Coturnix japonica: one gene and its partners. The main gene of each other region encodes a partner of the protein of the gene in region 3 in a complex. Links are inferred from orthologs where the notes say so. Each region holds a gene or a part of one and is shown on either strand. Other genes may lie near its edges.

The links.
Region 1: GEMIN5 (region 3) and GEMIN2 share a complex: the UniProt entries of both Homo sapiens proteins name them as parts of the SMN-Sm complex. The link is inferred for Coturnix japonica from reciprocal best matches to the Homo sapiens genes GEMIN5 and GEMIN2.
Region 2: GEMIN5 (region 3) and STRAP share a complex: the UniProt entries of both Homo sapiens proteins name them as parts of the SMN-Sm complex. The link is inferred for Coturnix japonica from reciprocal best matches to the Homo sapiens genes GEMIN5 and STRAP.
Region 4: GEMIN5 (region 3) and GEMIN4 share a complex: the UniProt entries of both Homo sapiens proteins name them as parts of the SMN-Sm complex. The link is inferred for Coturnix japonica from reciprocal best matches to the Homo sapiens genes GEMIN5 and GEMIN4.

What each region holds. Positions count from the first base shown.
Region 1 is NC_029520.1:34,103,454-34,111,335, reverse strand, and holds GEMIN2 (gem-associated protein 2), read right to left. Parts: upstream 7,814-7,882; 5' UTR 7,799-7,813; coding exon 7,560-7,798; intron 7,317-7,559; coding exon 7,232-7,316; intron 6,451-7,231; coding exon 6,361-6,450; intron 5,199-6,360; coding exon 5,139-5,198; intron 4,980-5,138; coding exon 4,869-4,979; intron 4,437-4,868; coding exon 4,392-4,436; intron 3,891-4,391; coding exon 3,822-3,890; intron 3,388-3,821; coding exon 3,277-3,387; intron 3,113-3,276; exon of another isoform or gene 3,061-3,112; coding exon 3,002-3,060; exon of another isoform or gene 2,669-3,001; coding exon 2,629-2,668; 3' UTR 2,214-2,628; downstream 1-2,213. UniProt on the Homo sapiens protein: The SMN complex catalyzes the assembly of small nuclear ribonucleoproteins (snRNPs), the building blocks of the spliceosome, and thereby plays an important role in the splicing of cellular pre-mRNAs.
Region 2 is NC_029516.1:57,763,775-57,772,554, reverse strand, and holds the start of STRAP (serine-threonine kinase receptor-associated protein), read right to left. Parts: upstream 5,383-8,780; 5' UTR 5,260-5,382; coding exon 5,148-5,259; intron 4,128-5,147; coding exon 3,992-4,127; intron 3,267-3,991; coding exon 3,185-3,266; intron 2,936-3,184; coding exon 2,863-2,935; intron 2,312-2,862; coding exon 2,215-2,311; intron 1-2,214. UniProt on the Homo sapiens protein: The SMN complex catalyzes the assembly of small nuclear ribonucleoproteins (snRNPs), the building blocks of the spliceosome, and thereby plays an important role in the splicing of cellular pre-mRNAs.
Region 3 is NC_029528.1:6,013,692-6,021,973, forward strand, and holds part of GEMIN5 (gem-associated protein 5), read right to left. Parts: coding exon 8,184-8,282; intron 7,333-8,183; coding exon 7,151-7,332; intron 6,614-7,150; coding exon 6,462-6,613; intron 6,254-6,461; coding exon 6,122-6,253; intron 5,937-6,121; coding exon 5,804-5,936; intron 5,369-5,803; coding exon 5,209-5,368; intron 4,694-5,208; coding exon 4,481-4,693; intron 3,783-4,480; coding exon 3,697-3,782; intron 3,285-3,696; exon of another isoform or gene 3,155-3,284; coding exon 3,060-3,154; exon of another isoform or gene 2,429-3,059; coding exon 2,292-2,428; exon of another isoform or gene 1,903-2,291; coding exon 1,829-1,902; exon of another isoform or gene 1,449-1,828; coding exon 1,267-1,448; exon of another isoform or gene 1,166-1,266; coding exon 1,026-1,165; exon of another isoform or gene 477-1,025; coding exon 305-476; exon of another isoform or gene 262-304; intron 46-261; coding exon 1-45. UniProt on the Homo sapiens protein: The SMN complex catalyzes the assembly of small nuclear ribonucleoproteins (snRNPs), the building blocks of the spliceosome, and thereby plays an important role in the splicing of cellular pre-mRNAs.
Region 4 is NC_029534.1:5,683,449-5,690,696, reverse strand, and holds the end of GEMIN4 (gem-associated protein 4), read right to left. Parts: coding exon 4,120-7,248; 3' UTR 2,043-4,119; coding exon of another isoform or gene 1,773-2,042; 3' UTR 1,746-1,772; intron 1,620-1,745; coding exon of another isoform or gene 1,524-1,619; intron 1,061-1,523; coding exon of another isoform or gene 847-1,060; intron 585-846; 3' UTR 356-584; intron 278-355; 3' UTR 88-277; downstream 1-87. Other genes in the region: TLCD3A (TLC domain-containing protein 3A), read left to right, coding at 847-1,060, 1,524-1,619, 1,773-2,042. UniProt on the Homo sapiens protein: The SMN complex catalyzes the assembly of small nuclear ribonucleoproteins (snRNPs), the building blocks of the spliceosome, and thereby plays an important role in the splicing of cellular pre-mRNAs.

The DNA of each region.
Region 1 (7,882 bases), on a different chromosome or scaffold from region 3:
CTGTTCTCGTATCTCAGTATGAAATTAATTCTGTACCAACATATTAATGTCCATCATGGTGAAAACTCTCTTCTCAAAAGTTACCAACAAAAGCTTTGTAGTACTAAATCAAACAGTAGATTTTAAGAACAGAGTAAAGTCACATTGAAGACTCAGTTGGTATAAGAAACAAATGTGTTTTGTGTCTCCTAAGAAATGCCAAACTGCTGCCTTTCTGTAATCACTCCTTACTGTGTGGCAGCAACTGTCTATTATCCTGAGGGAACAATCACTGCATAAATCAACACTCAATTAACAGCATCCAGTGGAATATAGAAATGATATGAGCAAATAAAGATAACTTATTTCTACAAAAATAAAGGTATATCCTATGCTTCTAAAATTAATGCCTGGTTTTGGTTGGTTTGTTGTTTTTTTTTGGCATCAGAAGAATTGTACAGCTAAGAACATCTACATCCAACAAAGGCAATTTGCTTTAGTTTATTGTGCATAAATTCAGTATTAATGTTCTTTTTTTTTTTTTTTTAATTGTTAGCTACAACTCACTTCTGTAATGAGTGTGTGCAGGAAGATGATTAAGCCAGCAAGAAGCTATAAAGTCATCACCAAGATCCTAGAGGAGACTGAGGTTTGCTTGATACTTCTTGTTACAAGTTTTGTGTAACAATATGTATCTTGCTGTGGGTAAGCATGAAAACACCTTGTTTAAAGCAAATTCTACTGTAAGACTTTTCTGTTGGCAGTCAGGCCTTATGCTTTCAGAAATGTGAGAATGTCCTGTGATAGTGATTCCATTTATGCTTTGAGACCTGCAAATAACAGGCTAGATATAAAGAATAATGCATTAGAACAACGTTTTTGTCTGCTTTAACCATCTTCTGTGTATGTTATCCAATTGTGTGGTTGAGCAGGAACACTGGAACTTGTTCTGTAAGCTCTTAAGGAAGTTCTGAAGCTTGTAATGGATCAAGCCTTCTCTAGATAGTTGCCTTTCGTAGCCTATCAATCTGTGCTGGGAAGCTGGAGGTTACAGACATGATAACCAGGGGCTTACTGTAATTAAGATGTGAGCAAATTCAGATCTTTTCAGGTACTGTGAATGCTGGCTCAGATAAGTTGTAACTGGATAATTAGACAGATCTAGGAAAGATCTAAAGCACCAGCAGAATGCCACTGTGCTGTTTAGAGACCTAGTAGAGATAAAAGTAACCGTGGCAGTTGGTACTCTGTGGGGATGAGCTTTGTGACTGAAAACACTGAGCACTTACACTAGTGGTTTACAGGGAGGTTGTGTTTGTCCACCCGTACAATTCAGGCTTCTCTGAAACTGTAAGGTTAGAGAATTAGCTAACTGCTATTCTTCCTGAGTGCATTTTATGGGTTCTTCAGTTGCCAACTCATGCTGTTTTAAAATACTGTTATTAAAGGCATGGACTTGCACTGTGCCTAATAGATGGATGCTTCAGTGACACCCATTAGGCCCACAGACCTTGGCAGGCCATTTTGTAATTTGCTTCTCTAGAATTAAAACTGTAGTAGTTACTTTCATTTTCACTTGACAGCTAAGATTACTGTTCCATGTAAAAAAGCACTAATAATCCCAAGTTACAGTAAAGGCTTAACCAGTAACTTGTGCTTAATGAACTGTCTTTGTTAAATAGTGAGGGACTGACATCTGTTTCTTGTACAGTGTGGAATTCAATGCTGTCTATCAGTCTGCTGTTACCAGCAGAAATGAGAGTTCCTTTAAATTGGATTTTCAATTGTTGAAGATAATTAGGACCCAACAGAATCATGTATGTATGAAGCAGACACCAATATTCTTGGCAAAGCACTCCCTGTTCAATATGTTAAGTCAAGTAGGTGAGCTAATGTATTTGTCAAGATTCCATACAGAAAATAAGTTTGTCCATTGTGTTTAATAGATGCTTCTGTTGAAGAGTACTGAGTACAGCTGTGCCTTTTCCCCTGGCTTCTGCTACTTTCCACTGTAAAGCAGCAAACTATTACTCAGGAAATCTATGTACTACCTCCCTTTATGTTTTTGTAACATAATTGTATCAGTAATTCACTGGCTATAGTTGTACTTCATTAGTAGTATTTAAGTTCAGGAACTATATCCTGAAAAAAACACATTGGATCCCAGTTGTGTAGGCTTCTGAAGTTCTGAAGGCAGTTGTTAAGTACTATGAAGACTGAGAATAGCCACAATGTTTAAGAACACTTTAAGGTATGTTTCAGTTTTATTAAAAAAAGACCTCAAGGGTTGTGTGTTAGGTAACGAACAGTCGTCTGTGACATCTGCTTAAACTTAGAAGTCTTTACCTAATGGCAGCATCCACAGGATTACTCAGATGGTAAAAATTTATAATGAACAATCTACTACACTACAACAGTTGTTTGAGGGATAACGAGAGATGATTCATGGACCATTTTATGATGAGGATACTGAAGAGTAGTACCCTCATGCTAAAGATCAGCTTACGTTATTCACAGCTGTTCCAAATATATTACTATGTTGAGGGTGCTCTGAAGAAGTTGTATTGTACTTCACAGGAAGACACTGCATGCTTCAGACCTGTATGCTGGTTGTACTATGGCAACACAAAATGGTTTTCTCAAAAAAGTCTAGGAGGGCTCATCAGCTAAATCACGTTGATCAAAGTACCTAGGGGAGAGAAATGGAATACAGTAAGAAGACTCTAATGCAACACACTCCTTACTTTGATCTGAGTTGTTAAACTATCTGCTTTCCAGGCTTTAATTTAGTATTTCTATCATATTTATAGCTTCACGATTGAGGGAGATCACCAAAGAAAACTAGTGTGTCTCCTCTGTTTTAGTCTTAAGTTTGTCTGGAGTCCTTGTAACTAAGTATGTCTGCTACATATATCCAGACTGCTTGGACTGACTTTCACTTTAAAGGAATCTATGTTAGCACAAGGATAATCACGCTTATTCTGGACATGCTCTGCTATTTTATATCTGTAGTCTGCATTACCTGCTAACTAGGCAGATTAACAGGTTCAGAGCTGACACTTGCTCTTCGTTCTTGTTTTCCTGAAAGAGAAATAAATACCAGAACAGTTCCTCTGTTAACCACATCCACTAGGGAAATGTTACCTGCCATGTTATATGTTGTAGTCTTCCTCTCATTTTCTAGCAGACTTCAAATGTGAAAAATAACATGCCAAGAATTTAAGAGCTGAAAAATCACTTTCTTGATAATTAGTGAAGTTAAAACAGTCCTTTGCAGAACATTAAATTAAATCTTACCTCTAGTACTCTCACTTCTGAGCATCGCCTTGCCAGCTGTCGAATGAGGGAGTGAGCTTCAGGTAGCAAAGGTTTTTCAAGGCACGCCAACAGCGCATAAAACCATCTACCCTGTGTGGATTTAAATAGTGAGTTTTTAATTATGGGCATTTCCTTGAAGTTTTACACACTGACAACTTAACCTGATGTCACGGTTTTATGATTTTTGGTTACTGGTTTTCCACATCATAACATGATGGGAACCTCTTTTCTCCCCACCTCTCTTTCGACCTTGCAGATTAAGTTATTGTGGGGAACAAATGAAACAGAGGAGTTTTAGCAGTACCTGAAAGATCTGTATCTGTTGTTTTGTAATTACCCTTTCAGAAAGTTCTGCGTATGTTCAATGTAGTATCTAGTCAGGTGAGTTTTGAGAACAACTGAATACAGTGCACGGATCTAGAAAACTATTTGGAAACTACAGTAATTTCACAGAGAAGAGAGTATAATGTATCCCTTGTTTCATGTGCTCACATGCAAGTAGTTAGAACAAAATTAAGAATTACCAGTTCCGGAGTAAATTTTTTCTCTCCAAACCAGCTTATCAGGTATTCTAAGACACTGGTTACTGTGGCCTTCGAAAGAGAAATATAAAGACACAATGCGATATCTACAGAGTTTTGTTTTGCTGTCCTTCTGCCCAAAGGATTATATTATGTAAAGAGCAAATGTGATTTTTGTCTTTAAATACAGAAACATTATATGTTTCTACTTGGCTGTAATTCTATATGGCGTTCAGTTCAGGGTGAGATTATATGTAACTTTAACTTAAATTTAACTTAACTTAAACACTGTAAGCCCCTAAAAGATGCACTCAAACATTAGAGATTTCTATAAAGAAATTATGAGAAAATACACTTACATCTAGTTACAGTAAATGTTTGCTGGTATAACTGTAGTTAAAGGTGAGATAATATTTTTTCCTTGTAAGTGTACACTGAATAGCAGCTGAAATAAACTATCACCTTAGCACAGAAAAATAGCTGAGATTTATGCAACTGCTGGAACACAGGAAGTACTGACTTTTGCAATATCACTATGCTGTTCTAAGAGGAAGGCTTAAGATGTAGGCTTACCTGATTCATTCTGCTTACAATGCTTAGCAGAGGAGGAAAGCCCACCTGAAAAAAGTCAAGTTGGAAAATGCAGAAACATCACAAACACCTTTTTTTTCTAAGTTAGAACTTACTAACATTTAATGTTAGTATTTGTAATTGGTAATTATTTTGAATTCTGTTACAGAATAGCATGTACAAAAACAGGGAGCAACTTTACAAAACACTAAACCAGACTATGGATAAAACTTCAGCTGGCAGCGAATTAGCGTGTTTTAGCTGGGAACAGATGAGGGAACTCCCCGAACTTTTTGACTGAACTAATAGATTTGTTCTCTGCTTCACTCAATTTCAACTTAAAAGGGAAGAGAAATGGGTCTTACTGGGCTCATCAGCCAGCTTGCTTTATATTTAGCACAACGTGATAATAAACAGTAGCGTTGTTTCTGGTAGTTATTTGTGAAAATAACAGTTGAAAATGAGTCCTCTTATACTCACCTTTATGTAATCAATTCCTAGATTTTCATGGTCAGATTCTGCATCTATTTCTGAATATACTCTTTCACCCAGGCAGAACTTCTTCCAACCTTCTTCATCCTCTAATTTGGGCTAAATTAAACAAAAATAATTGAAACCAGTGAAATATAGCTATCTTGAAGACACCAAAGAACAGACATGATAATACCAGTTGTTGAATTACACTGTAAAACAAAATTAACCACAAATGTAATGACTAGAAAAAACAGAACTGTTAAGAATTCTACTTACCATGTTAACATTGCTGTCCAAATCCTGTGACCGCCAGTGATTTCTGTGCTTGTTCAGGCTCTGAATAATTAAAGCCAAATCAGTTTTAACTTTACAGTTATTGGATCCTAGCCATAATCTTATCTTCACTTAAAAAAGTATGTTTTGAAATCAGTAAAGGCATTACTGAGCACATATTCATCAAGCCTCTTAGTATAAATATAACTGTTTCTTATACTGGGTTTTTGGAAATAATATTAAAGTCAAAGGAATTGTAAAGTCTACTGCATGACGTTTTAAGTAGTAAGTTTTACTAGTCTTAAAATCTTCATATACACCCTGTTTGAACAGTGTATAGAGAGAGACTGCTCAGTTCTTCAATTCTTTTCTGTCAAAGCAAGATACAAATGTGGTAGGAAAGTCTGTGCTAACACTACCTCCGCACTGCAAATCCATTTTAGCAGATCGGTATTTCTGAACATAATGGCTCCCACTAGTGCCCATAGGACTCTAAATGGACAGTGTTTTACATATATGAAGCTCATGGTGAGGTTGGAATCTACTTGTTCTATAGTTCTACAGAACAACGTAGAACACTGTTGATTTTAGTGTCACTGTGTAACATCACAGTGATTTCTGTCCTTCATGGAGTGCTATGTATCATTCAGTGTAAATACTGCCAGATATTTTTGCTTTAACAGGACCACAGAATGGCCTGGGTTGGAAGGGACCTCAAGGATCATGAATCTCCAATCATGAATCTGATCAAAATGTCATGAATCTCCCTGCCACGGGCAGTGCCACCAACCTCCACATTTAATAATAGACCAGGCTGCCCAGGGCCCCATCCAGCCTGGCCTTGAACACCTCCAGGGATGGGGCATCCACAACCACTCTGGGCAGCCTGTTCTAGCACTCACCACTCTTATAGTAAAGAACTTCCCCCTCACATCCAACCTAAATCTTCCCTCTAACTTAAAACCATTTCCCCTTGTCCTGCCATTATCTACCTTTTCAAAGAGTTGACTCTCAGGAATGAGTTTCATCAGAAGTTTAAAAGCCTCACAGTATATTCACATTTTATTTTTCTATTTTTATTAAGAAATTAAAGCAGTTGACTAGCAACATCTGATCAAAATGTCATGGCTTTATGGCAGGAAAGATAGAAGGTTGTCCCCCCTAAAGCACAGATGTGCAAGTTTAAAGCATCCCTCCAGTCTCCATCACACACAGAATTTTCTACCTGACGAACAGATGAGAAATTGGCCACTTGCTGCTGCTGCCACTTGAGTGTTGGAGAGTATCCTTCCGGAGCAGGCTGACAGCCAGAAATCTAAGAAAACACTGGCAATAATTATAATGTATAAAAAGCTTTATAAAAATAATCCTTAAAGAACAAGAGAAGTAGTAAACAACAACGACAGACTGCCAGCAGATAAAAATACAAGTACTCGCTTTAAGAAAGGCAATTTCCTGACAACTGATTTAACAGTTAGTCTGGACAAAATTCATCCTGCTTGATGGTGCATGTATGCAAAGAAGGAAAATTAAACACACAGAATGTGCTGTTGAAGAATCATTTAAGGTCATGTTTTTAGCACCTATTCTGCTTTAACTTCCCTGTGAATAAAAAGGAGAGTGCTCCTTTTTATTAACAGAGGGGAAATCCCAATAAGAAATTCCATCAACAAGTGAAGAAATGGTGCTAACATTTCATCTTACGTTAGCTGTACTTACTGCTCTTACTGCCTTACATACATCTATATATGATCTTCAGGGTCTTTGAATCTAGATACAGATATTGCTTTCTTCTAAAGCTCACACATGCTTTAAGATAGACTTGTAGAATTTGGCTCAGCATTTGATTCCTTCAGGCAAAAAGAAGTCTGCTGTGTGTCAGTTAGTAGGGCTATGGCTGATTTACACTGATCAGCTACAAAGACTCCTTATTGCCCAGAAACTCAACAGGTATTTCTTCGAACCCTAAAGTTTTATTTATTTCATTAGGAGCTTTAAGATCCAGCAAAGCTGCTGTTTCAGTTATGCTTATGACCTCCCTATCTTTCCTGCTGCTTGTTTCTTATAGCAAAAGGAATAGAGCAGCCCAAACTTACTGCAATATTTACTGTCTGCTTCTTTCTCAGTTTCTTGGGGTCTATTTGTGCCACGACCACATCTGGGCATCGCGCTGCTTCGATCCTACAAAATAAAACCAAACCACTGTATTGCAATGGGCAGTTATAGGACGAATGCCTCTGATATACGGCACCTGCAGAAATCTTCACTTATGCAAAAACCAACTGACTCCACGGGCAATTGTTACAGAAGGTCTGACTTCAGAATTAACTCTTTATAAACAACTGCACTTATGTTTGCATGCTCCTAAACTGCCTTGAAGTGAGGCCCGACCGGCCCGCCGCCAACCCCCGTCCCTCCACTCACTGGACGCGCCTCAGGTACTCCTGCGGCGTGCGGGGCGGCACGCTGGGGTCGAAGTCGTCGGGCAGGTCGCAGTCCTCCACGGGCAGCAGCCGCGGCATCAGCTCCTCCACGGCCGCCTCCATCGCCCCGCCGACACGGCCGACCCGCCTCTCCCCGCCGGCCGCCGGCCCGGCTGCTCTCGCGAGAGACGTTCCTCGCGCAGGCGGAGCGCCGCCGCCGTGCCCGGGCGTTACGGCCATTGCGGGGCTGTGCACTGTGCCGTCCTGCCGGGGAACCGGCCACAGCGATAACCCCGTTACTGAGCTGGACGGCACCTCTGATAA
Region 2 (8,780 bases), on a different chromosome or scaffold from region 3:
AATTAAGACAAGTTTGCATTAAAATACTGCTACTTTTAAAACGTATCAACTACATTAAACAGTACACATACTGCTTAACTACTCAAGGATTCTCTTAAAAGACAAAAAGCTTTATTACATGTCTCCTGAGCATTACAGCTTTCTAGAAGCAAAGCTTAAGATTGCATTCTGCCTTTTTAACACAAAACATATATATATAATACTAATTTAAGAAACTAATAGACTCGTTTAATATAATTTAGCATTTTGCCTAGGCAGGCAAGGAATATCTAAGCTAAAATCAAATTAAATTATAACAAACTGTCCCACGCAACATCCTGGTCACCATAATGGAGAAAATGGATTTGAGGGATAGACCACTCAGTGGATTAGGAATTGGCTGGACAGTTGCACTCAAGAGTTGCAGTTAACAGCTCAGCATCCAACCAGTGACGAGTAGCATTCCTCAGGGACTGGTACTATTTAATATCTTTATAGATTATATGGACAGTAGGATTGAGTGCAGCAAATGTGCAGATGACACCAAGCTGAGGTACAGCTGACACACTAGAGAGAAGGGATGCATCTCAAGCCAGACAGGCTTGAGAGGTGAGCTCACACTAACCTCACAAAGTTCAAAAAGGACAAGTGCAAAGTCCTGCACTGGGGTTGAAGCAATCTTAAGCACAGACACAGGTTGAGCAGATTTTAGCCTGAGAACAGACCTGAGGAGATGGATTTGGGAGTGTAATTTGATGAAACTCAACACAAGAGAAGTGTGACCAGCAGGTCGAGGGAGGTGATCCTGCCCCTCTAAACTACCTGCATGAGACCTCACCTGGAGGTACTGTGGCCAGTTTTGAGACACCCAGCATAAGAATATCAAGCTGTTGGAGTGGGACCAGAGGAAGGCCACCAAGATGATGAGAGGGCTAGAGCACTTCCCCTACGGGAACATGCTGAGAGAGCTGGGGCTATTCAGCCTGGAGAATAGAATGCTCTACAGGAACTTTACAGCAACATTCCAGTACCTGAAAGGGCCAACAGGAAAGCTGGAGGGGGACATTTTAGAAGGGCACATAGGAACATGGCAAGTGTAAATGGTTTTAAACTGGAAGAGAGTAGATTTAGACTAAACATTAGGAAGAAATTCTTTGGTTTGAGGGTAGACACTGGAACTGGTTGCCTAGTGAGGTTGTGGATGCTTCCACTCTGGAGGCATTCAAAGCCAGGCTGAAAGGGGCTGGGAGCAACCTGGTGTAGAGGGAGGTGTCCCTGACTATAGCAGGAGGGTTGGAACTAGATGTTCTTAACGGTCCCCTCCAGCCCAAACCATTCTATAAATTATGAGTTTCTTATTTCATTAAATAACTCAATGCTGTTATTTCAATTTCTAAAATTCAGAGAAAAAATAAAAGACCAGTCTCTTGACTATCTTGAATGAAGGAACTGAAAAAGAATTGGAGCCAAAACAGAAACAAGGAGACTGCAACTGTGATTTCACTCTATATCTACTGCCCTTCCACAAAGCAGAAAGCCACTATTACTCTATGCCATAAATATAAGAATAACGAGACAAGTAGACATGAGATGATGCTGATCACATCAACCAGAAAGTTGTGGAAGCAGCAAGGCACATCTTCCTTCTTTTTTGGCCAGCATAGATTGAGGAAGGATCTTTATCATTTCATCTCCCTAGCAGCCAAGTCTGTCTAGGCTTTAGCCCATCTACATTTAAGGGGATGATCTATCTTACAAAACCAGAAAAGCTTTCTCAACTTACCACATGGAAGAGAAAGACAGTTATGATTATTAAGAAGGCACTGTCTCCAGAGAGGCTTCCCTGCCTTTTATCCCAACCCTCGCCCAATGCATGTTTCAAGGCTTGACTGCAGAAGACAAGGCAGAGACACTTCAGCATGTCTTCACAAGACCTCACCTAGAATTTAATTTCCTCTAGGATTAGAAAAATCAAATTAATTCTACTATTCGGTTATCAGAGACCACCTCTTCCTATCAGGGAGGACACGTTTATGGTGCAAATCAGAATTAACAGAAAAATTATATCTTCAACAACATGAAAAACTGGATTACATGTGCATATTCTAATCTAGAATCAAACAGCCTTTATTACTATTTCCCAAGGAAATAACAATCCTCTGACAGAAACTGTACACAATAAGTAAAAGTGAGCTTCAGAGAAAACTACTAGAAGTTTGGTTTTTTTTTCCTTACCGGACAGTTTTATCATCAGCTGAAAGAATCTGTTTGTCATCACTGCTCCATAAAGCCTTTTTAATACCAGAAGTATGCCCACTGACAACATCAGGTTCTTGAAATAAGAACAAGTATTTCAGTACACATAAGAATATAAATTAACACTGTGCAGTAGTTTAGGAACTCTGGTCATCTACATGGATTTCTATTTACTAGAAGCTGCAAAATTACTTCAAACACTACTGACTTTTATTTACAGATTTCAATCTAGGAATCTATCCAATTGTCTAAACTTAAAAAGCTTCACTAGGTTAAAATCAATATTAATTAGCTTGGTATCAGTTTTCAGCAGTTCAGTATTAATACAAATTTAAGCACACTTCAATATGAAAAGTCTTTTGCCTTTCGGGTAGTGTAACTTTATTCAGACCTAGTCATAGTTAAGTCCCTGTTAAAGTCAATCACACTATCCTTAAATCTCTTCATAGATAAGCTCTATTTTACTTCAAAGACTAAAACAATTTGATTTAGTATAGAAAACTGTTATAGACACATTCTTTGTACAACGAGCCTCAAGTGTGTCTTTTGTGATTCACAACAAATTTCACACGCAAGAAAAATCAACCAAACAAAACCAACAGTAACCAGTTGTAAGTGCAGACTCACCTGCTTCCGGCTTGCTTAAATCATAGATACGCAACAATTTATCTTGTCCACCTGTTAACAGATAATTGCTATCCTGAAACAGAAGTTATAAAGGGTCAACTCTACTTTGAATTGAAATACCAGCCTTCATCCATAAGCCTTAAAATACCAGTTATTTCTCTCAGTTTCTAAAACATTTATTACAACTTGTTTGTAAGAGCAAAGCTTAAATGCATGCTAAATTACTTGCCAGCCTAAGCATATGTATAAAAAAAGTAGCAAATAAAAAAATATGCCGAAGACCTTACCTCTCTGTTGAATATGCTATAAAGATTTTCCATACCTGTGTAAAATCCACACTTTTGACAATGTGTTTGTGAGCCAATGTGATTAGTTCATCTCCCGACACAGCATCCCACACTTTGCTAAATGACAAGAGAGAACACGTACATTTCAATAGCTCCAGGATAAATGTGAACACACAAGTTAAGTTGTCTCTCCTAATCTACCCTATACAATCCTTCCTGATACTATCATAACATTTTTAATCCTAAATGCTACATTGTAATGAACTACAGACCTCATATTCTTTCACTGAAGAATTTCTTGTTACTGACCCATCATTTTCTTTCACTAATTTCTTCAGGATAACACATCAGCAGCATTTTAGATTTAAGACAAACAAAGGCAGCTCTTCTCTGCAACTTTTATGGACTTAATTCTAATAACAGGATTTGAATTGTCAAATATATTAATGTATGCTGCAAACAGTTCAAACAAGCAAAACAAAAATAAAAGAAATAATTCATTAATATTTCTGCATGTCTTCTTCTAATAAAAAGTGGTACACAAAACGAAGATCACTCTTGCCACTCTCGTATAACTACAGTACTGAAGTCGAGAACTGCACAGCATTGTTTATTCCAATAAATCAGCACTATAACTAAGTATATATGTCAAGAAGCAACCACAGTTGCTCAGCAAGATAGAATTAGCTGTAGCTACTCATAAAAACCTTAAATTCTAGGCTGTAATACAGATATAAAGTAACAACTTAAACAAAAACAAAACCACAGCAACTTACTACAGCCATATTAAAAAAAAAGGCTATTGACTAAAATCAAGACTCCAAAAGCAGGTAATCACTTACGCTGTAAAATCTGCGGCTGCTGTAGCTGCTTTAGTGGCATCTTTGTTCAACGTAGCACCCCAGACAGCACCTTTATGACCTAGGAAAGTGCCGATCCAGTCTCCTGTGTCACCCTGACGTAGCATAGGCTTTCCATCTTTGGAAAAACAAAACCAATATTCAGACAACATAACAAAAAAAGCAAGCTGTGTTAGGAAACAATTCCCTCACACCAACATGGAGCAATCAAACTGCCACCAGACTGGCCTCCCTTAATGGAAACACCATATACACTGTGAAATGGTATAGCTGAAGAACTTAAATGTACAGATGCACCTCTGAAAAGGAGCACCTTTTGCTGTTTTTTCTTTTCTAATATAGCCAAGTGTTCCTTGGGCAGGTCAGTTCAATTCATTTTAGAACAATATTTTCAGACTAACAGTACACAAAAAAGGAGTCTGGGGTTTGTAATGAGAGATGTTTAAAACACAAAGAGATATGCTGTAATAACGAAATAGAAAGCCTTTACTGTGACTATTTTTTGCTAGGACACAACCAGATATAATTCATGCAATGAATAGAGCTGAACATTAAGTCCTCAGAGACATCGAGGAATGTTCTTTTACACTTGTGAACACAAGTGAACATTAACTCATATGCATAGAAATGAAAATGCTACTCTCATAAATAAGCAGAAGAGAGTTCTTGTGGGAAAGGAAGCAGAAATCACTGCTCCGCAATCAGCAAGGCAGCTACCTTGGTTGCAAAGGAGCTGGTTTTAAAGTGTGTAAAAGTTATAGCTACTTTCAGATAACGATTTTCAAGCCTTTCCTTCGCAAGTGGGATTCAGCCTGAATGAATGGGAGCCTCAAAGCCCTGCGGGCTAAAACCCGGCAGAACCAGCCTCCCACCGGTTCCCTTTTCCATCTGGTCACGCTGGAAGCAGGTATTTAGAACACGGAGGGCCCACTGAACGCTCACCTCAACCCTCCTCCCCACTCTCCCCATCGCAAACCTCTCAAATAGGTGGCTATGGCCACAGCCACGCGCAACCCGCCAACAGCGGCCCGCAACCCACAAGGCCTCAGTGCGGAGCAGGCCCAGCCACTGCGACTATTGAAAGGGGCCGGTGAAACGAGCACGGCCGCCCACCCCTCGCCCCCCCAGCCACGCTCACCCTTGCAGGCACTGATAAGGAAGTAGCCGTAAGGGGTGACGCCGCTGAAGGCCAAGTCCACCACGGGTCGCGTGTGCCCGGAGCACGTCAGCGGGGTCTGCCTCATGGCCATGGCGGCGGCTGAGCTCGGGACGCGCAGGGAGCTGGGCGGGGACGCGGCTACACTCCAGCCGGGTGGGAAACGGCGACCGCGGTGTTGGCGGCAGCGGAGGAAATGACGGCGGAGGAAGCGTTCCGGAGAGGAAATACGTCAGAGAGCGGGTGCGGAAGGGGAAGTGCTGGTAGCCGGTACGTGAGCTGTGGTGTTCAAAGAGGAAACTGCTCTGGGGAGGAGATCCCACCATTGATGTAATTGATAAACATATTGAAGAGCATTAGCCCCAGTATTGACTCTTATGGGATCGTCACTGATCTCCACCTTGACACTGAGCCACTGACCACCTCTGTCTGCATACTATCTCACAAGTTCCTCATCTGTCAGACAGTCTGCCCATCAAATCCATTTATTTCCAATTTGGAGGGAATGTTACAGGGGACCACATCATACCAATCAAAATTTGATTAAGTACTAAAGTCCAAAGAGATTATCCCTGCCTCTTAAATCCATTGTAACACTAACGTTTAGGTGTGTTTATTCCCTACAGTCTGACAATCTTTGGTTTAGAAATGGATTAATTCAGTGCATTCAGACTAGACAACTTTTAATACAAAGATTCTAAGAGAAACCTCAAAGTGAAAAACAGGCACTCAGGTCTTCAAGAAAGGCTGGAGATATTACTGGAAATAGGAAAGGTGGTAAGAGTAGATATTTACAAATGAAAGCCTCACAAGCTTAGAATAAAAATAGTAAGATTTTGTTTTATTTGGTTTTTAGTCAAGGTTGTTGTGTATCAGACAGCAGGAAAGTAAGGGGGAAAAAAAAACATCACATTTTTTTATTCAGTGTTTCATATTTATCTGTTCATTATCCAGACAATTATCCAATAGAATTAAATAAATATTCATTAACTCCAGCTTGTCAGGAAGTAATCAGGGACTTGTAATCATATAGAGCAATTCACCCCATCACTGCACAGAATAGCAAGTGTGCCAATCAGATGTTATAAAGCACCTGGGCCTGACTCTGTCACTGGTGACTTATAATATTTGCTTGATTAGAAACATCTTTTCACAGTGATTGAATTTTCTTAGAAATCGTTGCTGAACATGAATAAAGCTATCTTAGTGAAAAATCATGTTTCTAGTGCTTTGATTAAAGTAGATCAAGCAGAGATTGAATCAAGGAGTTTGGTGTACATATTTACATTTCCAAAGATTCCTTTCTGCTCCTGCGCTAGATAACAATGTTGAAAATGCCTTCTCTTGCCACTGAGGGGAGCTCCGTACATATCTATTAGCACGTCACCGCTCTAGCTGAGAGATTCTGCTCTGGGGTGACTTTTTGATTGTGATTTCAGCTTGTACAAAACTGCCTTATGGACATAGCACTAAAGCTACTGGATGCTTAGGTCTCTCAAATGAATCAGTTCAACAAGTGAATGGAAAGCTTCCAGTGTCACAAGAGGCAGCAGCAGGGCAATCCCTTAGATGACCTTGAATCTTAATTACTCTAATAATCTGAAGACGCAGTGTAATGAGTAGGCACACCAATGCTCCTTACCTCTGTTGAGTTTTCCTTTGGAGAAATGTTCCTTATTAATTTGTACAGATAAATTAGGAAGAAAAGAAGAAGAGGAATAGCTGTTTGCTGAAGGATGATGTGATGCAGATGCTATGAGGAGATATGAGAGCAACTGCAGAGCATGTGGTTGTATTTTCACTGGGGAATAATTACAATTGAGAGCCAGCCTTAAGCAGTCAAATATCACTAAGTAACTGAATGAGAGAAGTAATCATATCTTACAAATAATAGAAAAGTGTGCATCAAGGCAATGATTCTTTTATAGAACAGCCCTTCATGGCAGGTAACTGCATTGTTTTTCTAATTTCATGAACCTTATTATAACACAAATGTAGGGAATGTGAGGGCTGCAGCGCAGAAACTCTTCTGTTGAGTGTACATGGCAGTATCTTTTGAGAATGTGAACAGAGGCAAAAGGGACTAAACAGGGAAAAGAGCTGGAAAGTAGTGTCATAGCTTTTCAGTGAAAACGCTGCCTACTTAAAGTTTGATAAGTGATGACATAACTTTCTCCTGTTGTTATCCTATCTTTTTGCCCAGCACAGTCATCTTTCTCCTTTCAAAGGACAGAATGGAACCTGAAGACCAAGGATCAGAGAAGCTATTACAGCAAAGATAAAACCATTTTTAATAATCCTCATTGTCTTAGTAACTCTATTGTTGGTGCATGTTCTGAATGTTCCAGTTCTTTGTCTTCCAGTCAGACGGAAAATTTCCTGGGGGTCTAAGTTGCAAGCAGACAAAGTCAGGGCTAAAATTCTTCACAGAAGAGTCAATTCCATGTTCCAAAATCCTGTACTAGGATTGATCGTGTTCAATCAATTCATATAACAGTAGAGTTTTATGATAATCTGATGAACGTGATATGGACTTATAGAAGGAACAAATGTCAATGAACAGCTTTATAGAGACTTGGTGGGATGAAAGGGAACAGATTATCTTGAAGTGTTAACAGGGGAGAGAGAAGGAGAAATGCAGAGGAAAGAGACAAACAAGTCTATTACCGTGCTTAGTTATTGTAGCCAACTGACAAATGAGTGTTATGGGTGCTAAATTACAGGTGAAATTAGCCATTTATATTTCATTTCTCAACCAGCAGCTTTGCTCCCTAGGCAGTTTGAAGCATGACTGCGTTATAAAGGAGGACACATTGTTATGAGTAACGTAATATTCTTTTTCCACCTCTTTTCAAGTCTCATATTGGAACCACTTGATAATTCAGGCTATGTAAATAAGTATGCACTTCTGCAAAGGATTTAAATTCACAGTGAAAGTGAATCAGATTAAAACAGCTTTGCTAAAAGAGAATTCAAATTGTCTGCCAGTTGACTCACTTTCTAGGAAACGATTTAGCAAAATGCTTATTTTCTAAGTATTATCACATCTGTAATACTTCCCTCACTGTAAGGGAAGTAAAACAAATTTTCAGGAATGAGATCAAGCTGAATTAATTCATAATTTTAAGCTGCTTTGATGTTTTCACTTGGAAGATGTTCTTCATTACAGATTATATTTATGCTTATTGTTCTGAAAAGTTACAGTAATTCAAACATCAGCCTATAAACAACAGCAGACAGACTTTATCATGCAATCCTTAAGTACTTAAGCTGACTGTACACAAACAAATCTGTGGCACTAAACAGGATCCTTCCAGTGGTGCCAAGGGAATGGATCAGTGTCACTGCATGTCTGCTCTCCATCACCTTTAGAAGTTGTGGAGATCAAGGGAGGTTGTTCAGAACTGGAAAAAGGAAAACAACACATTCAACTTCAGGAAAGACAAGAGGAGGATCCAGTGTCTACGGCCCTGCAGTAGACCTCATCTGTGTTCCTGAGAAGTTTGTAAGGCAATTTCTAGACCATGAAAAACAATCAGCAATAGTCAGCATGAATTTACCAAGGACAAACAACACCTGACCAATCATGTTGCCTGACTTCAGCAGGACTTTTAC
Region 3 (8,282 bases):
TTGGTTGGATACTTCTTTTTTTCTCCAGCTCTATACTTTTTTTGCCTATAAAAGGTCACAGAAAAGTTACTCTGTTATTACGTGTAGAGATTTTTGGGGTATAAACTGTTTGCCTCTCAAGATCGACACTGAGTTTGCAAATAAGAATACGATTGAATTTAAACTTAGACAACATTTATCCCTAAAGGGGAAGCAGGCAGAATTGAATTCAGCATAAAAGCTTTACTGTCATTTCAACATGACAACCCTCTTCTTTCCTAGCTCCCAGATCAACCTTCAGGAAAGGATCATTGAATATACTTACCCTGAGGGGGCCGTGTATGCTCCTGCTTTGAGATGAGCCACTTGTGAACAGAGAAATCATCAGCTCCAGTATAAATAGAATCTGAGTCCACTGGTGACCACTGGACACACAGCAGCCGGCCCTGGTGCCCTCGGTAGTTGCAGAGTGGCTCTTCCTTCATAACATCCCATACCTTATGATCAAGAAAGAAACTTTATTACTTAATCTCCTCCAGGTGTGAAACTCTATGCTTCCTGTTTAGCAATTTACATTTGTAGGAGCTTGTCTTCTATTGAGTTTGCAGAGCTATTTCAATAACAAGCAAGCAGACGGAGAAAACTCAGAAAGCTTTCTTTGTATGTACCAATAAGCCAGCTTAATGTCTTTCTTAAGAATCCAAAAATGCTACTGGACTTACAAATCAAACTGCAAGGCACAAAACCATACTTACTGCTCAGCTTCCCTCTGTTCATTCCCTCTGTTCATTCATTCAACCTAAAAGTGTTCTTTGCAATATTCTCATTTGTGCAGTGTGTTGGAAAAGCAGGAATAAGCCAAAAGAAAAAAGTATACCTCTGTATCAGGTATCCAGTGTGAGATTGTTGCCAAGGGTAAATATGCAGTAGTTAAGCAGCTGAACTCAGAAAAGCTTTCTTGTTCAGTTGGCTTGCTTTTAAAATACTGCAGAAAGGATGACTTGAAATTAAAAGAAATACTCTTCTGAGTGGTTGTAGAGAAGTACCTGTGCAGTGCCATCATAGCAAGCTGATACCAATCTTCCCTCGTGGTGGGGGCTCCAAGAAAGGCTTGTGACTTTTGCTGTGTGTCCCGCCAGAGTTCGAAAAGGTTCTGTTATTGTCAAAGGACTTTCTGAAGTGCTCTCTGAAAGAAGAAATAAAAGGATAAGCTACGGCTAGCAATGCAAACCAAGAGGAAAGCAAAACAAGATGCCAAGACATGGGATAGAATCTGCAAACCATTACCTACAACACTCTTCAGATTATGCACATAGATAACGGCATTGACTGAGCCTGAAGCAATCAAGTAACTCAACTCTGGATCACTCCCATGCTCATGATGCCATCGGATAGCATTAATCAATTTGTGATGCTGCTGGATAGTGCAGAGCAACTTCAAGCTCGGAGCCTGAAATATTTCAATTGACCTGAAATGCAAGAATAACAGTGTTAGAAATACTCCAGTCAGTGAAAATGTGATTTTGTTTTTCTTGTCCTGAATGATGGTCTATGAAACGAAATGAGATTTTCTGTTCTGGATCCAAGTCGCATTCCAATTTAGTACTTAGAGAAAGTGTATTTCAGCTGTGTGTAGATCCTTGAAAAAATGATGTAATGTGATATAGATCCTCCATGCCAAGAGCAACTTAATGAAATACCAGCAAAGAATATTGTATTATCACAATTCAGATACATAGGCAATGAAAGTTAAGAACCAAACCAGGACAACAAAAAGTACTTTTGCATCAAAACACTGACTCCTGTAGGTTAAGGCTGTGTATGCACCAATCCTGACAACGAAACATACCCATCTTCATTGCCAAGGGCCAAGAGTTTACCATCTGGTTTCCAGCTGATCTCTGTATGTGCAGGTAGTTTGTGCTGTGGAGAGAAGATGCAGCTATTACCAGCCATCACACAAACTCTTAGGTCTCTCTTGAATACATCAACAGAACACAACTGGCAACTAGGAATTACAATTAGTCTGCAAAACAAAAGCCACCCAAGTGTCTGCTGCATTTTGTAGTAGTGACATAAGTTTGGGCAATTGAGGACTGAATGAACTGCAAGATGATGGAAGAATCACTGGCTACATCCAGCGCAGTGGAACGTGTCAAATGAAATGTCTTGATTCCAAAAGGACCTTGTTGTTCCACCTCCTTATGCTCCTTAGTAAGTTCTGCATGTTCCAAGAAACTTCAAAAGCCTACAACTATGGGCTACAGAACTATAACCACAAATCCATAGAAAAAGGCAAGAATCATACTCACTTTAATTGAATTAGTGTCTCTGATGGTTTTGTTGATGTCATTTGCCTCTCCACTAAGTTTCCAAGGGTTGTGTTGAAAAACAATACCTTCTCCAGCACAACTATATAAAGTTACAGAGGGATGTTCACCTTCTTCTCCTACTCAACAGAGGAAAAAAAAATCTAAGTATACTATGCTCTTCGTCAGTCTTAGGAAAAGCAATTATTCTTACTATAAATCAAAACAGTATTTTAAAATGCTGTATGTATGCTTTGATTCTCTGAGATCTGGCAGCAAGAAATTCTCAAAATACAATTCCCTAAAAGGACCCCTCATTCATTCTCCATAGCACAATTGCTGCACACATTAAAACTCCCTTTAAATCCTGGCCAATAAACCCCCCCAGGTTGCATAAAAGACAAATGGAGCTGTTCTGTTTAGTTTTAATGACAGAAAAACAGTTAGAGCTAAATAATCTGTACTTGATCCTAACCAATTATTGTGGAGAGCCTACATAGCTATTTCAGCGCATTACAAACATGTAACTATGTGGTGTTGTGCTCTACTCCCATCCACTTCCCGAACCTTTCAAAATACAGAACAGATTATTTTGCTCCCTTGGCAAAACTGTTACCAGTTTCTCAGGCAGAACGCATCCTTAGTGGATAGAAAGGACTGCTACCAAGCAGATGGAGCTCACATCCATAAGGAAGGGAAGCACACCAACTTTGTGGCATCTGTGTGCTCTGTATGGATTTCTACTTTGTAACAAGACATTATAACACTCACCAGAAGATAGTGGAGGAGTTGGAGGTCCCCAGGCTAATGTGTATACAGTCTTCTTGTGGTAAGTACTGGAGATCTGTGGGGGCTTATTCTTAGCACTGTGCAGGAAGGTAAGGAAACAGGAGTAGTCTGATTGCAGCAAGGGGAAATACAGAATAAAACCCCTAACAAAACCAAACTGAAACTAAACCAAATCCAAAACAAGCAAAAAAAAAAAAAAACCCAAAATTCAAACTAATGTATTTCCAGTAGTGAAAACAGACGACAGGTGCTTCAAAATACTAAAGCAATGGCTCAGCCAAGCCTTTGATGCTTCCTGTAGAACACTACTAAAATCAGAACAAAACTGTCCTAATGAATTGCATCTGCATGTTGCTCATTTTATGGAACTTTTTCTGGCTTAACTCATCCTTGACTGATGACTTCCAACAGGTGACTGTTACACAATTTGAGTAAGGTTTCTTTAAGAGCTGCCAGTCACAAGGAACAGATGAAAAGATACACTTAAAATACATCTGACTACTTTAAATTTAACTTTTAACAAATATCAAATGTAAACCTCAGGAAAGACCACGTCATCTATGTGTGCTGCCATACCAGCAAGATCGAATACTAATGAATCTGAAAACTACTTTCTTACCTGCTGGATAAGGCATCAAATATGCCAACCTTTCCATCCTCTGTTCCAAAAGCCAAACAACCTTCTTTAGTTGGATGCCATGCTAACTGCAAGAAAAGTACAAAGAGCCCCATAATGACAAAAGGAATTGACAATTTATTTTTAAATAATAAACAACAGGTTAAGCACTGAAATCAAAAGCACTGTCCCTTATATTCACCATGCTAACTACAGCAACTCAATTTAACCACATTGTGATGTGAATCAAGGACTCTTCCCTTAACAGTTACTGGGACAAGAGGAAAGGAACTGAAATCATTGAAATGCTACCTGACTGCTACATTACAACATAGAGTCATACTTTTGGTGTGATCAACTAACATGTTGTAATGCTGCCATCGTTTACTAGATGTTAGTATTTAGCCAATTGCTGTTCAAATTCAAACTGAAGGCATCAGTGCCAGTTTTTCTACATGTTAAACTTCCTAGCAAACAAAAGGAAACTGTGGATGACACAAGGAATGATCACAGTTGTTTACAAAACCAAGAAAGTGAGGCAATAACCACCTAAACTTCAGCTGATTTTCAGTATGTGTACTGTAAATACCTACTGTTCTAAAAATGTCTAAAATGCTGATCAATTCTAAAATTTATATCATGCAAATTGAGAGCAGAAGTAACAACTCGGCATTATAGGATTTAGTTAGGAAAAAACCTTCTTCAGTGTGAGAGAAAAACATTCCTCAAAGAGAAAAATGGAGTGAGAAAAGAGACAAGAAAAAAGGGGAATGTAAAGCACACTTACTGCTGTAACCTTGGATTTTATGCTTTGCCAGTAGGTTTTCACATCATAGATGTTGCTCATAGACAAAGTATTCCAAACGCGGATCATGCTGTCTCCAACACCAATGGCAAGACAGCCTGGGTCCACAGGGGAGAAGGCGAGACTGTAGACAAATCCCCCAAGTGAAGGCATTGTCCAGCTACAATCTAGAGTTGATAGGTCCCAGCACTTTATCTAAAGAATATTTAAGGAACAACGAATGATAAAGTGACTGGTATGATGGGGGGGGAAAAACAAAGCACAAGTGAGAGGAAGACTCAGAGTATGCACGTGTCAGTATGAGTCAAAGACAGAGCTGTATTAACTGCAAGACTGCGATGGAACAGGGCTATGGTTTAATTATATGGTCCTCTTCTAAATTCAAAATAGGAGGCACTGTGCTGCCTGTAAAAATCAAAACCAAACCATAACAACCCTTCCTCCCCCCACAAAAAAGGCAGCTATTAAACGTTTGATTTTTCAAGTCCAGAGGGCATAACCATTCTGTCCTCCAAGGTAAAAGCTTGAGCTTACATGCTAACAAAGAAATGCACAACTTGTGCTCAGAAGAAATGTTGAGCCATGATGTTATAAAGGGCAGGGATAAGCCTGCTTTAGGAGAAAATGTGTGGTCATCAAAGTGCTAGTTTCACTCAGTCAAACTGAACTGCCGCTGCTATTTTGATGTTAATTTTAAAATGGGTTCTTACATCTCTGTCCATTGAAATGGAAAGAAGCAGCTCTTTGTCTTGATGCTTCAGGGAACACAAATTGAACACAATACGGGAGTGATTTTGCCCTTCTGAAGATCCCATTAGTGTCCACTTGCGTTTTCCAGGTTGAGTTAAATCCCAGTGTAGCAGTTCTCCTCTGTGAAACGTAAAGTGTGTATATTTCATTCTTCACTTCAAAAAAATCATATCAGCGCTCACGCACATACTGCAAGTGTGAGAGTAATACAGATAGACACACATGCACTACACGTCCCTCTACAGAGATAAAACTACCCTACAGATATCCATTCCTAATCACATTGGAAGTGGAAATGTCAACTGCTTCCATTAAATGGGCAAAAACCACAAATAGTACCATTAGCAGTCAGTATTCAGTTAGATTATTAAATGAATTGTGGGGCAAATAACAGCCTTCTAGAAGACTGAACTTCCCCTACACTCTTAGCCTGTCCTCTATCTTGCTATACTAGGAAGGGAGGAAGATGGGGGTGTCAGTGTTTCCTGCCAGTTGTTCTTTAAATATCAATGAATTAATGTACAATTAATTTTACTTGCTTTGTCTCCTACTTACCCAAAAGAGCTGGATACAATTTCTGTAGGACGACCACAAGGCCAGTGGACAGTGAGCCAAATGCGCTCTTTAACAGCAGGATCAACAGCTCCACCTCTTCTCTTTGTGGGTGGCAACTTCAGAGTCATTACACCTTTGGAAAAGAAAGGGATCGTCTCGACTTTGTACATCCAAATTCTCAGAAAAAAAGACCTGAGAATCTGAACTTTAAGTAGGCTCCCCACTATTTAAACTATTGAGTTAGCAAATGAAACCCACAGTTAGAAAGGAGCACTTCACCTATGTTGTTGTCTCACTCAAATGATTAATCTTACTTACTTCTGCCTCTAGTACAGCTCCATATCCGTATTGTCTGATCTTTGCTTCCTGAAGCCAAGTAACAACTTTTCTTCATGGCTGTATCTTGTTTCAGCTCCCCGTTTGGAACATCACCTTCTTCTGAAGGAAACACCATTGAAGTCTGTTATTATACTTTGGAATTCAAAGCTCTAAACGTTAATTGAAAATCTACTACTCTGGATCAGAAAATATTTTACTTGAACTAGTTACCTCTGATTAGCTACCTACTGACCTTACAGGGATAAGGAATTTAGTTCTCCACAGGGACATTCTCCTGAGCTAAGTATCACTTCACAAACTACGTATCACTTCTACGTACCTTGGAGCTCATCTTGCCAAGCAGGTAACCTTCCTTCTCCAGGTACAGGACACCAGGCCAGACAATGAATTTCATCATCGTGACCTCTTAACCGATGAAGAACTTCTTTTTTCCTGCTGATATCAATTATAACCACCATGCCATCCTTGTAGCTAAAAACAGAGATTTCAGTTAATGATAGATTGTTAAACCCTCACGGAATAACAACTAATCTGATTTGCAAGCTATTACCCAGGATCAGTGTCTCCACATTACAGAGAAGCCCAATCACAAGTGGCAATGAGACCAGTCAACTGGAGCTCAAGTGTAGCACTAGCACAAACACAGCTGCCTTCTGTTTGTGAAGTGCAACCAGGGAGTATATTTGGCTCCAAGAACAACACCAATTTATCAGCAATACAGTTTTCAGAGCCTTATAAAGTAATAGAGACTTTTATATAAGGAAAGCTGTTCCCTTTTCCACAAATAACTTTAATTCTCTCTCATCTCTTTTGAAAGGCTTTCATGTTCCTGCTTTGTTCAGTAGTCTTAGGTGTCCAAAGGACTGAAATGGCAGCTGTTGGTAAAGAGACAGTAAAGCTATGAAACTCTCTTCAGATGATGTAACCTGTAATGTGAGGAATGTTAATGAAATCTAATTTACAAGACACTTTGAGATGGAAGAACGGAAAGTAAAACGTAACACTTACCCAATAGCCACCAGGTTTTCATGATGAGGAGAACAAGTGAGACAAAAGATTGTCCGAGGCTCTGGGAAGAATTGCTGGCTGTCGTTTCTGCTGTGCCAGTAGCAAACAATTACCCCTTTTTCATCACCGGACACAATCAGATCTTTCACAAGGGGTGACCAGTGTAACGCTGTGATTGCATTCTGAAGAAAGGCAATTGAATACATGTAAAGCCATTGAGCACGCTTAGCCACTGAATTCATTTTGTGGGTTCTTTAAAGAACTGAAGCACAAAATAAAGCAAAGTGCATTTAGCAGTTGGCTCTTTTGGGATGGAAAACTTGCTCTAACAGCCTGCCTAGAGATCATCCTCAGAGGAAGGTGAGGCCCATAAGATGCCCCATTGTTGATGGTGCTCAAGGCCGTGGATGATGGCTGATATGGTGGGAGGTGTTTCTGCCCACAGAAGTGGGTTGGAACCAGATGGGCTTTGAAGTCACACAGTATCACGGTCTTGTGCAGGTTGGAAAGGACCTTAGAGATCATCGAAGTCCCTTCCAACTCAACCATTACACAGAATCACAGAATGACCCGGGTTGGAAGGGACCTCAAGGATCATGTAGTTCCAACCCCCCTGCCTAGCAGGGCCACCAAACATACACCTTTAACACTTTTACACTGGGATGATATGGAGAAGATCTGGCACCACACTTTCTACAATGAGCTGAGAGTAGCCCCTGAGGAGCACCCTGTGCTGCTCACAGAGGCTCCCCTGAACCCCAAAGCCAACCATTCTGACTGTATAGCACAGGATAACAAGCAACTAATCTACAAGCACTCCCTGTTCTAAACTGTTTGAGTTACCATTTATCTACCAGCATCCTGAGATGCACTAACTGGAAACACCAGGAGGCTGCAAAGCCAGCTGGGTGCGGCAGCAAGGAGGTGCTAACAGCATCCAGCATCCCATTACGATGCTGTAACGGCAGCGTACACCTCAGGCTATGGGAACAAGCAGCACCCAGCACCTCAAGCATCATCGCTCCGGTCCCACCTGGTGCAGGCCGTGCTCTCCCCTCTGCTCGAGCTCCACCGCGTCCCACAGCCTCACGCTGCCGTCGTCGGCTCCGCTGGCGCACAGGGCGCTGTGCTC
Region 4 (7,248 bases), on a different chromosome or scaffold from region 3:
GGGGTTACAGCTGCCACATTGTGCAACTGGGATTCCGACATTCTTTGGGAACAGGCATCTGCGTGCAATTATTTCCCAACAGACAAAACGTCTCCCAGGGATTTATTGCCGCTATTACAAGCTTTGCACTTCACTCTCCAAAGCCTGGGCATCTTTCATTAACTCAGCTTTCTGGGTGTGTTACACTCACTCACCTGGGTGGGCAGCTGACACAGACGGTCACGGTGTTGTTCCTACCATCAGCTCCGGATGCAGGGCGTAGGGCACAGAGGATTACCTGCAGCAGATGAGCACTGATCTGGGGAGGTGCCACGGCCCCAGCAAACACCTGCCCCAGGCTCAGGGTGCTCCTCACCTCGTGCTGTTTGCACTGTGGCTTTGCTCCTGATGCAGGGTTAATTGCATGGCTCGGGCAGGCACTGAATGGCACTGACTCGATAAAGGCAGCCGTGCCCCACTCAGTGCCTGCACTCAGGAATCACCCATTGTTCTGTTGCTGTTTCACATAGCTTTCCTCTGGGATGGCTGAGCTGAGGCTCCTTGTCCAGATAAACCCACCGAACTCATTGATCACAGAGTTAAGGCTGGAAAAGACTAAATGGATTAAGTCCAACCCCACTGTGCCCAGTGACCATATCCCTCAGTGCCACATCCCCACAGTTCCTGAACACCTCCAAGGATGGGGTCTCCCCCCTTCCCTAAGCAGCTGTGCCACTACCTGAACACTCTTCCTGAGAATAAATTATCCTGATATTCAACCTGAACCTCCCCTGGCACACAGTGTGAGAACATTACCTTGTGGGCTTCCCAGACCCATTGCTACACCTCTGTGCTCTCCCTCCTTAGGCACTGGTTGGCTGTGGAATACGTCTGGGTCCTGGTTCCCTACATGACTTATGACATCTACGTCATGTACCTCTGCCACTGGCACAAGAGCCAAGAGAAAGGCATAGTAGAGAGGAAGCACTCGCTGACCAGTGTGTGGAGCTTCCTCCTGCAGGACCGGCTGATGGTCACCCACCACCTCTTCATCCTCATCGTGCTCACCCCTATCACCCAGGTGAGGGCCAGGCATGGATGTTGTGAACCCAGACAGGTGGGAGCCCAACACTGAGCTGCCTGGGGGGATTGTGAGATTAAGGTTGGAAAAGACCTCTAAGATCACCAAGCCCAACCCCAGCTCACCCCCACCATGCCCACTAATTATATTCCACAATGTCACATCTCCCTGTTTCATGAACGCCTCCAGGGCAAGGAACTGACATCAGCTGATACCAAATACATTGACCAAGAGGAAGCTTTCCTCAAGCTGTGTGTGTTGGATCTGTGCCTGTTACTTGGCTGGCATCACAGTCAACACCATTTCAGCTGAGTTTGGAAAGCATCTCTGCCTGCCAGGAGATGTGGAGGTGCTCAGTATCAGCTCCCAGCTAACCTGAAAGCAGCAAGATCCATTAGCAGAGCCTTGTATATGAAACATGTCACAGTGGGGAAGGTCCCGTGCTTACTCTTGTTATTTGCAGCACTTCAGGGGAGAGCTGGGGGATTTCTTCGTGGGCTGCATCTTCACAGCAGAGCTGAGCACTCCTTTTGTATCGCTGGGCAAAATCCTCATGCAGGTATGTGAGGAGGGTGGGTGCCATGGGGTGGGTGCCTGGGTCACTGCTGCCTCCAGGGGACTCTGGGAGCCTGCACCCCTTCCCCACCCCAGGATCCCCCCCTTGCACTGCTCACACAGCACTCACCCTATGCTCGCCTTCTTCCTTTCCCAGCTGAAGATGCAGGACACGCTGCTGCACAAGGTGAACGGGATCCTCATCCTGGTGACTTTCTTCCTCTGCCGTATTCTCCTCTTCCCCTTCATGTACGCAGCCTATGGCAGGCAGATGGGAATCCCTGTTTACATGGTGCCTTTCCGCATCCCCCTGCACTGCAACATAGCCAACGCCTCCCTCATCGCCCCGCAGCTCTACTGGTTCACACTCATCTGCCGCAAAGCCGTCCGCCTCTACGGCAGCTCACCTGCTGACAAGAGCAGGTAATGGCTGGCGGAGCACGAGGGCTGGAGAAGGGTTGTTCCCCCCCACAGCTCTTCTGCCTGCAAAGTCAGAGCTGCAGGAACCATCGTGGGAGCACAGCAGCATCGATGCCATGAGGCAGCCCTGCTGTCAGCAGTGCTGGTCTCAACTAGGGGGACTTTCCTCCCACGCTGCTCCTGCACCTTGAGCAAGGAAGAGGTCTCCCCATAAGCATAACATTCCTTCTAGGGTTCAATGCTGCAGCACCAAACTAATGGTTACATGAGAAGGGACTGTTACAGATCCCTCATCTTTCAGAGCTGATGGCAGCACAGAGTGAGGCACTGCACAAAGGATCTCATGGAGTGGATGCAGCAGTGTAGGCGATGCTGGAGCATGCCCAGCCCCAAGCAGCAGTGCTGGGGATGTGGGAGCTGCGTGCTGTCCCTGCTGGGCTCAGATCTGCTCCTCCAGCAGGGAGCAAAACCAGGCCCTGTGATTCTGCACAGCCTGTTCCCCAATGGTGCCTTTACACTACAGTTGCATTCAGCTTCTGACTTGCCCACACCTTGCTGCTGCTGGGCTCAAGCTTACTTAGGACTCTCCACTTAACTCGAAGGGGATTTTCAGTACCACTGTGATGTCTGTGGCTGACAGGGAGTAGGGCAGCTCTGGAGCCCCAGCAGGATCCAAGGATTGGTTGCACTCTGTCAGAGCAAGCCAGGCAGGCAAGAGCCATCACTGAAGGGCAGGAGATTGCAAAGTCCCTATCCCACCAACACAGAGCCCTTCTATGGCAGGTGATGGCTGGTTTCAACCCCCTTGCCTGGCTGCAGTTGCATAAGGGGATGGGTTCATCTGCCTCATTACCTCTATCAGGTAACTGAAAGCCCAACATGTTTCCTTGCCCCTGCTCTCCCTTCAGCTGACACCAGCAGCACTCTGGGTACAGCCTGAGCTCCAGCTCTGTCCTTCCTGCCCCATCCTGGTCCCCTACAAAGGGAGACCTGCCTGAACCTGGCAGGGAAGGAACTGCTCAGTGCGTGAGGAACCAGCACCACCAGCAGACATACACAAACTGGACAGGTGCCCTTCTTTCTCTGAACACAGCATAAAACTGAGCAGCCAGGTCCTCCCCACAGCCTCCTGCACAAGCCTGGAGTTTCCTCTGTTCCAGAGCATCCAGCTGCACCAGCAGTTGATAGACCAGCACCCACTCTGTGCCTTTCATTCTGTCTAAAAGCTAAAAAGGATGGCTGGAAGGGGCCCAGGCTGGGAGAACCATTTCTTCTGGGTGTCAGATCTTGTCCCAGCCATGGCTGTACAGGCTGGAAAGAATAATAATGATTTTACAAAAGCCTCTTCCAGCACGCAGTCGGTTATTGCACAAGCACTACTGTTACATTAACCATTGAGACAAGCTGCTGTTATAAACCGCTTGCTACCCATTGCAAATATTTGTATATTGCTGTTTTTATTACAGATAATGTGCCTTATGTAAAGACAGTCACTGAGGCATCTCAGTTTGCACTAACACTGCCCTATTTACTACTGTACCTATCAGAAGAGATCAATAAAGACTTCTTTCTTGAGTCACACCACCGGATGCCTCCCTCCCACGTGCCATTCATTGCTGGGTGGGGAGGCATTTAGGCAGCAGTTTGCCACTGTGCACCCACCCTGGGGCAGCAGCCCACACCTATTGCCCAAGGTGCCTGCTCATCCCGCAGAGCATCCTGCTTTGGCACAAACAGCAGTGCAGCCACAGCGAGGAGAGGACAGCCTGACAGAAGTACTTTCCTGGTGCCAGAGGCTTTTTGTGAGCACAGTGAAACTCCAGACCAATATTAAGCAAGGTTGGGGCCAAGGGACTGAGCTCGCAGCAGCAGTAGTTGTGTCTACAGCTGTTTATGTGGCTGCTTTGCTGTTTAGACAGGTTTGGAGGGAACAGAGCAGGGAAGAAATTAGTTCAAAAGTGAAAAATAGATGAGGTTTATTACGGATCTTACAGTTTTCCACATAGTGGTCCCTTGCAGCAGGGTCAGTGCTCTCCTGATTCTCCCTTCGGCTCTTCGTGCTGTCCCTGGCCAAGCAGGCTGCCCTAAGCACCCAGCTTGCTGAGCTTCTGCAGGAGGGGGCTGCGCAAAGCCTTGTCACTGATATTGTCAGTGATGGACTCCAGGAAATGCTTCTCATTGGCTCTCCTCAGTACGTTGCTGGGGGACGTATCAGCAGAACTGAATACCTCATACTGAGAGAGGACCTCCAAGGCCACCACCACCAGCGGCTCACTACACTCACTGTCTGGAGGCAGCATGGCTGCAATGTGCAGGAGGTGGCAAAACACCTGGATGCAGACAAAGGACACCTCCTCCCCGGAGCTCCTGTGCTCAGCAGGGTGCAAGGGGGGCCCTGTGGTGCTCTTGATGGAGCTCAGCAGGTCTGTGAGGCTGCTGCAGTACAGTTGGACCACATGGAGCCAAGCCTGTGGTGGCAACCAGTTGGAACAGCTGGAGCTGCAGAGGAGCTGGAAGCCCCGCAGGAAGAGCACGGAGAGCTGGAGGTAGCAGGCAAATGGCCGGAGGTTCAGCAGGGGCATGTACTGCACATACTCCAGTGTGTACGGCACGTGCAACACTTGCCTCTCCAGCAGGTTTGTGACCACATGCACAAGCCTCTTCCATTCACCGTGGCTGCACCAAGGGAGGACCTGTATGAGGGCCACCAGGAAGCCTTTGCTGAAGAGATTCACTTCCTCGGGGTTGTCCACGTTGACCATGAGGAGTGAGAGCATCGTCTCTCTGAGCTCAGTGGACACACAGCAGCACTCCATCCATGCCAGCAGTCCACTGCCCGGCCCGTAGGCTGGCAAAGGCTGGGATGTCCATTCATCTTCAGGGAATGTGCAGATCTCAAATAGCGTCGCTGGGACCTCATTCTTGAAGTGGTCTCCATAAAACTTCTTCAGTCGGAGACCAATGGTCCAGTCCAGCGATGCCACCTTCCTGTGAAGCCAGGCCAGAGACTGGACCCAAACCTCTGGGGAGGAGGCAGTTTCTGGAGTCACGACCTCACAGAGCTGGCTGAGGACACTCAGCACCAGGTCTTTGATCTCCAGGGATGGGAAGAGCTGGTCCTTAGGCTGATGCCAGTACTTTGTGTAGCCATCTAGAAGCTTGCAGAGGCTGAGGAGAAGTGGGAACGGGTGGCAGGACTTGATCCAGTGCTCTTCTGGGTAGGACCGTATTCCCAAAACTTTACTGAGGATCTGCAGGCTCAGCTCAATTTGAGCACAGTCTGATTTCAAATAGGGAAGGACAAAAGCTTTGGTCACTTCTGCAGGTGATACGAGTGGGGCAGCTGAACTTGGCTGCAGGAGAAAGGCCAAAAACTCAAGAAACTGTTCCTCCTCCCTTGCAGAGGAAAGCTTTTCCCATGCTGCCTCCTTCAGGCACCGTACCACCAGGCTGCCTGGACCATCATGAGTCTCCAGGAAGCTCAGAGCTGGGAAAGAGCAGAGGATTTGCGCCAGGAACTGATGTGCTCCTAGGTTGACTACAGCAAGACTACAAATCTGCTTCACAGTGGCCTCAGGGTGCAGCAGAGCAAGCCTAGCCACAGCAGCCACAGCCCTGGTAATGCCTTCATCAGATAAGCTTTTAGTGATCTGGTTGAAAGTCACATTGAGGTCCTCCTGGAACCCATCCATGACAACCTGCAAGTTCAGGGAGAGCCCTGGCCCACCCCAAGCCTCCAGGACACCCGAGATCACTTTGTTTTTGTCTGTTAATGGAAGCTCACTGTAACACTCCACAATGGCTTTGATCATTTGCATCTGCATCTCCCGGGCCTCACGGCCTTCACAGGATGTGGCAAAGTTCACCAGAGTCTCCAGCAATTTCCAAACCAGCTCTGGTTTCTGGAAAAGAACCTTGTTTTTCACAAGGCAGTCAACCCAGCCCTTTGAAAAGGCCCAGGTCTTTTCAGAAGCAAAAATGGAGCACACTTCCATGTGCCGGTGCAGCTTTTGCTCAATGATTATCATGGCAACTGAGGATTCAAGGCTGGTGTCCAAATCCTTGTTCTTCTGGGTGGTGCTGATCTCTGTGAGAAAGCCATCAACTGTCTGTGCCAGTTGTAATGCAACACGCATCTCATCCTCACTCAGGTCTCCAGTCTCAGAGAAGCGAACCAGGATCTTCCTGAAGGTGGAAAGAGTATCAAGGAGCCAGTAGCTCTCATAGCATTGATTCTCTGAGCTGTTCAGGACACCCCGCAGCTCCTCTCCCCAGGCACACAACAAGCTGTGAAGAAAGTCCAAGCCAGCTATGAGTTCTTCATGCGACAGCTTGGCCATGGATGAGAAGCTCATGGTCCTCTCAGCTTCCTTCACTTTCTCATCCAGCTCGCTGTGGTGGTGCTGGCTTTCAGTGTCACTGCTCCAGAGGCCGACCACTGAGCTGACCTTGGCCAGGTACTCTGCAACAGGGAGGGGGCTGCCCTGTGGCTTCAGCTCGGTGAACACAGACAGCAGCTCCACCAGGTTGCCCAGGGCGTAGCACTTCATGCGGGGTGAGGTGATGCTGCCGTAGCTTTGCTTTAACCCCTCTATGAGGACCCCAAGCAGGCTGTCTGCAGCAGGAGGGCCATTCAGAGAGCTGGGGTCCCCCTTGAACCTCTTTGGGGGCTGCAAGCCGTCATCCAGAGCGCACTCACAGCCGTGCTCACGCACCAGGGAGCCGAATGCAGCCACCGTGCTGTCCTCCGGATCCGGCTGTTGTCTCAGCGCCTCCCACCACACATCCATGAGCAATGTGACATCCGACGGGGCCGTCTCGTGGCTGACATATTGCACCAGGTGCCGCAGCTCAGCCCGGCTCACGTCGGGGGGCAGCGCCAGCAGTAACTGCACGAAGAGCCGGGGAGCGCCCAGGGCCTTCACCAGCTCGAAGAGAACGGTGCGGTTCACGTCGGGGATCATCGCTCCCACGGAGAAAAAGGCGTCTTCCTTCCACTCCTGGTCCAGGGAGGCGGCGGGCGGGGCGGGCAGAAGCACCTTGGCCCACACGATGGCCACGGCCTCCTTCTTCCACAGCCCGTGCTGCCGCGGTGAAGGGCAGCGGGCCCCGATCTCCCTCAGCGCGTCGGTGATGGGCGGCCCGACGAGCGGCCATTCGGCTTTGAGCAGCTCCCTCAACGGCCGCGGCTGCAGGAGCCTGGAGGCCAGCAG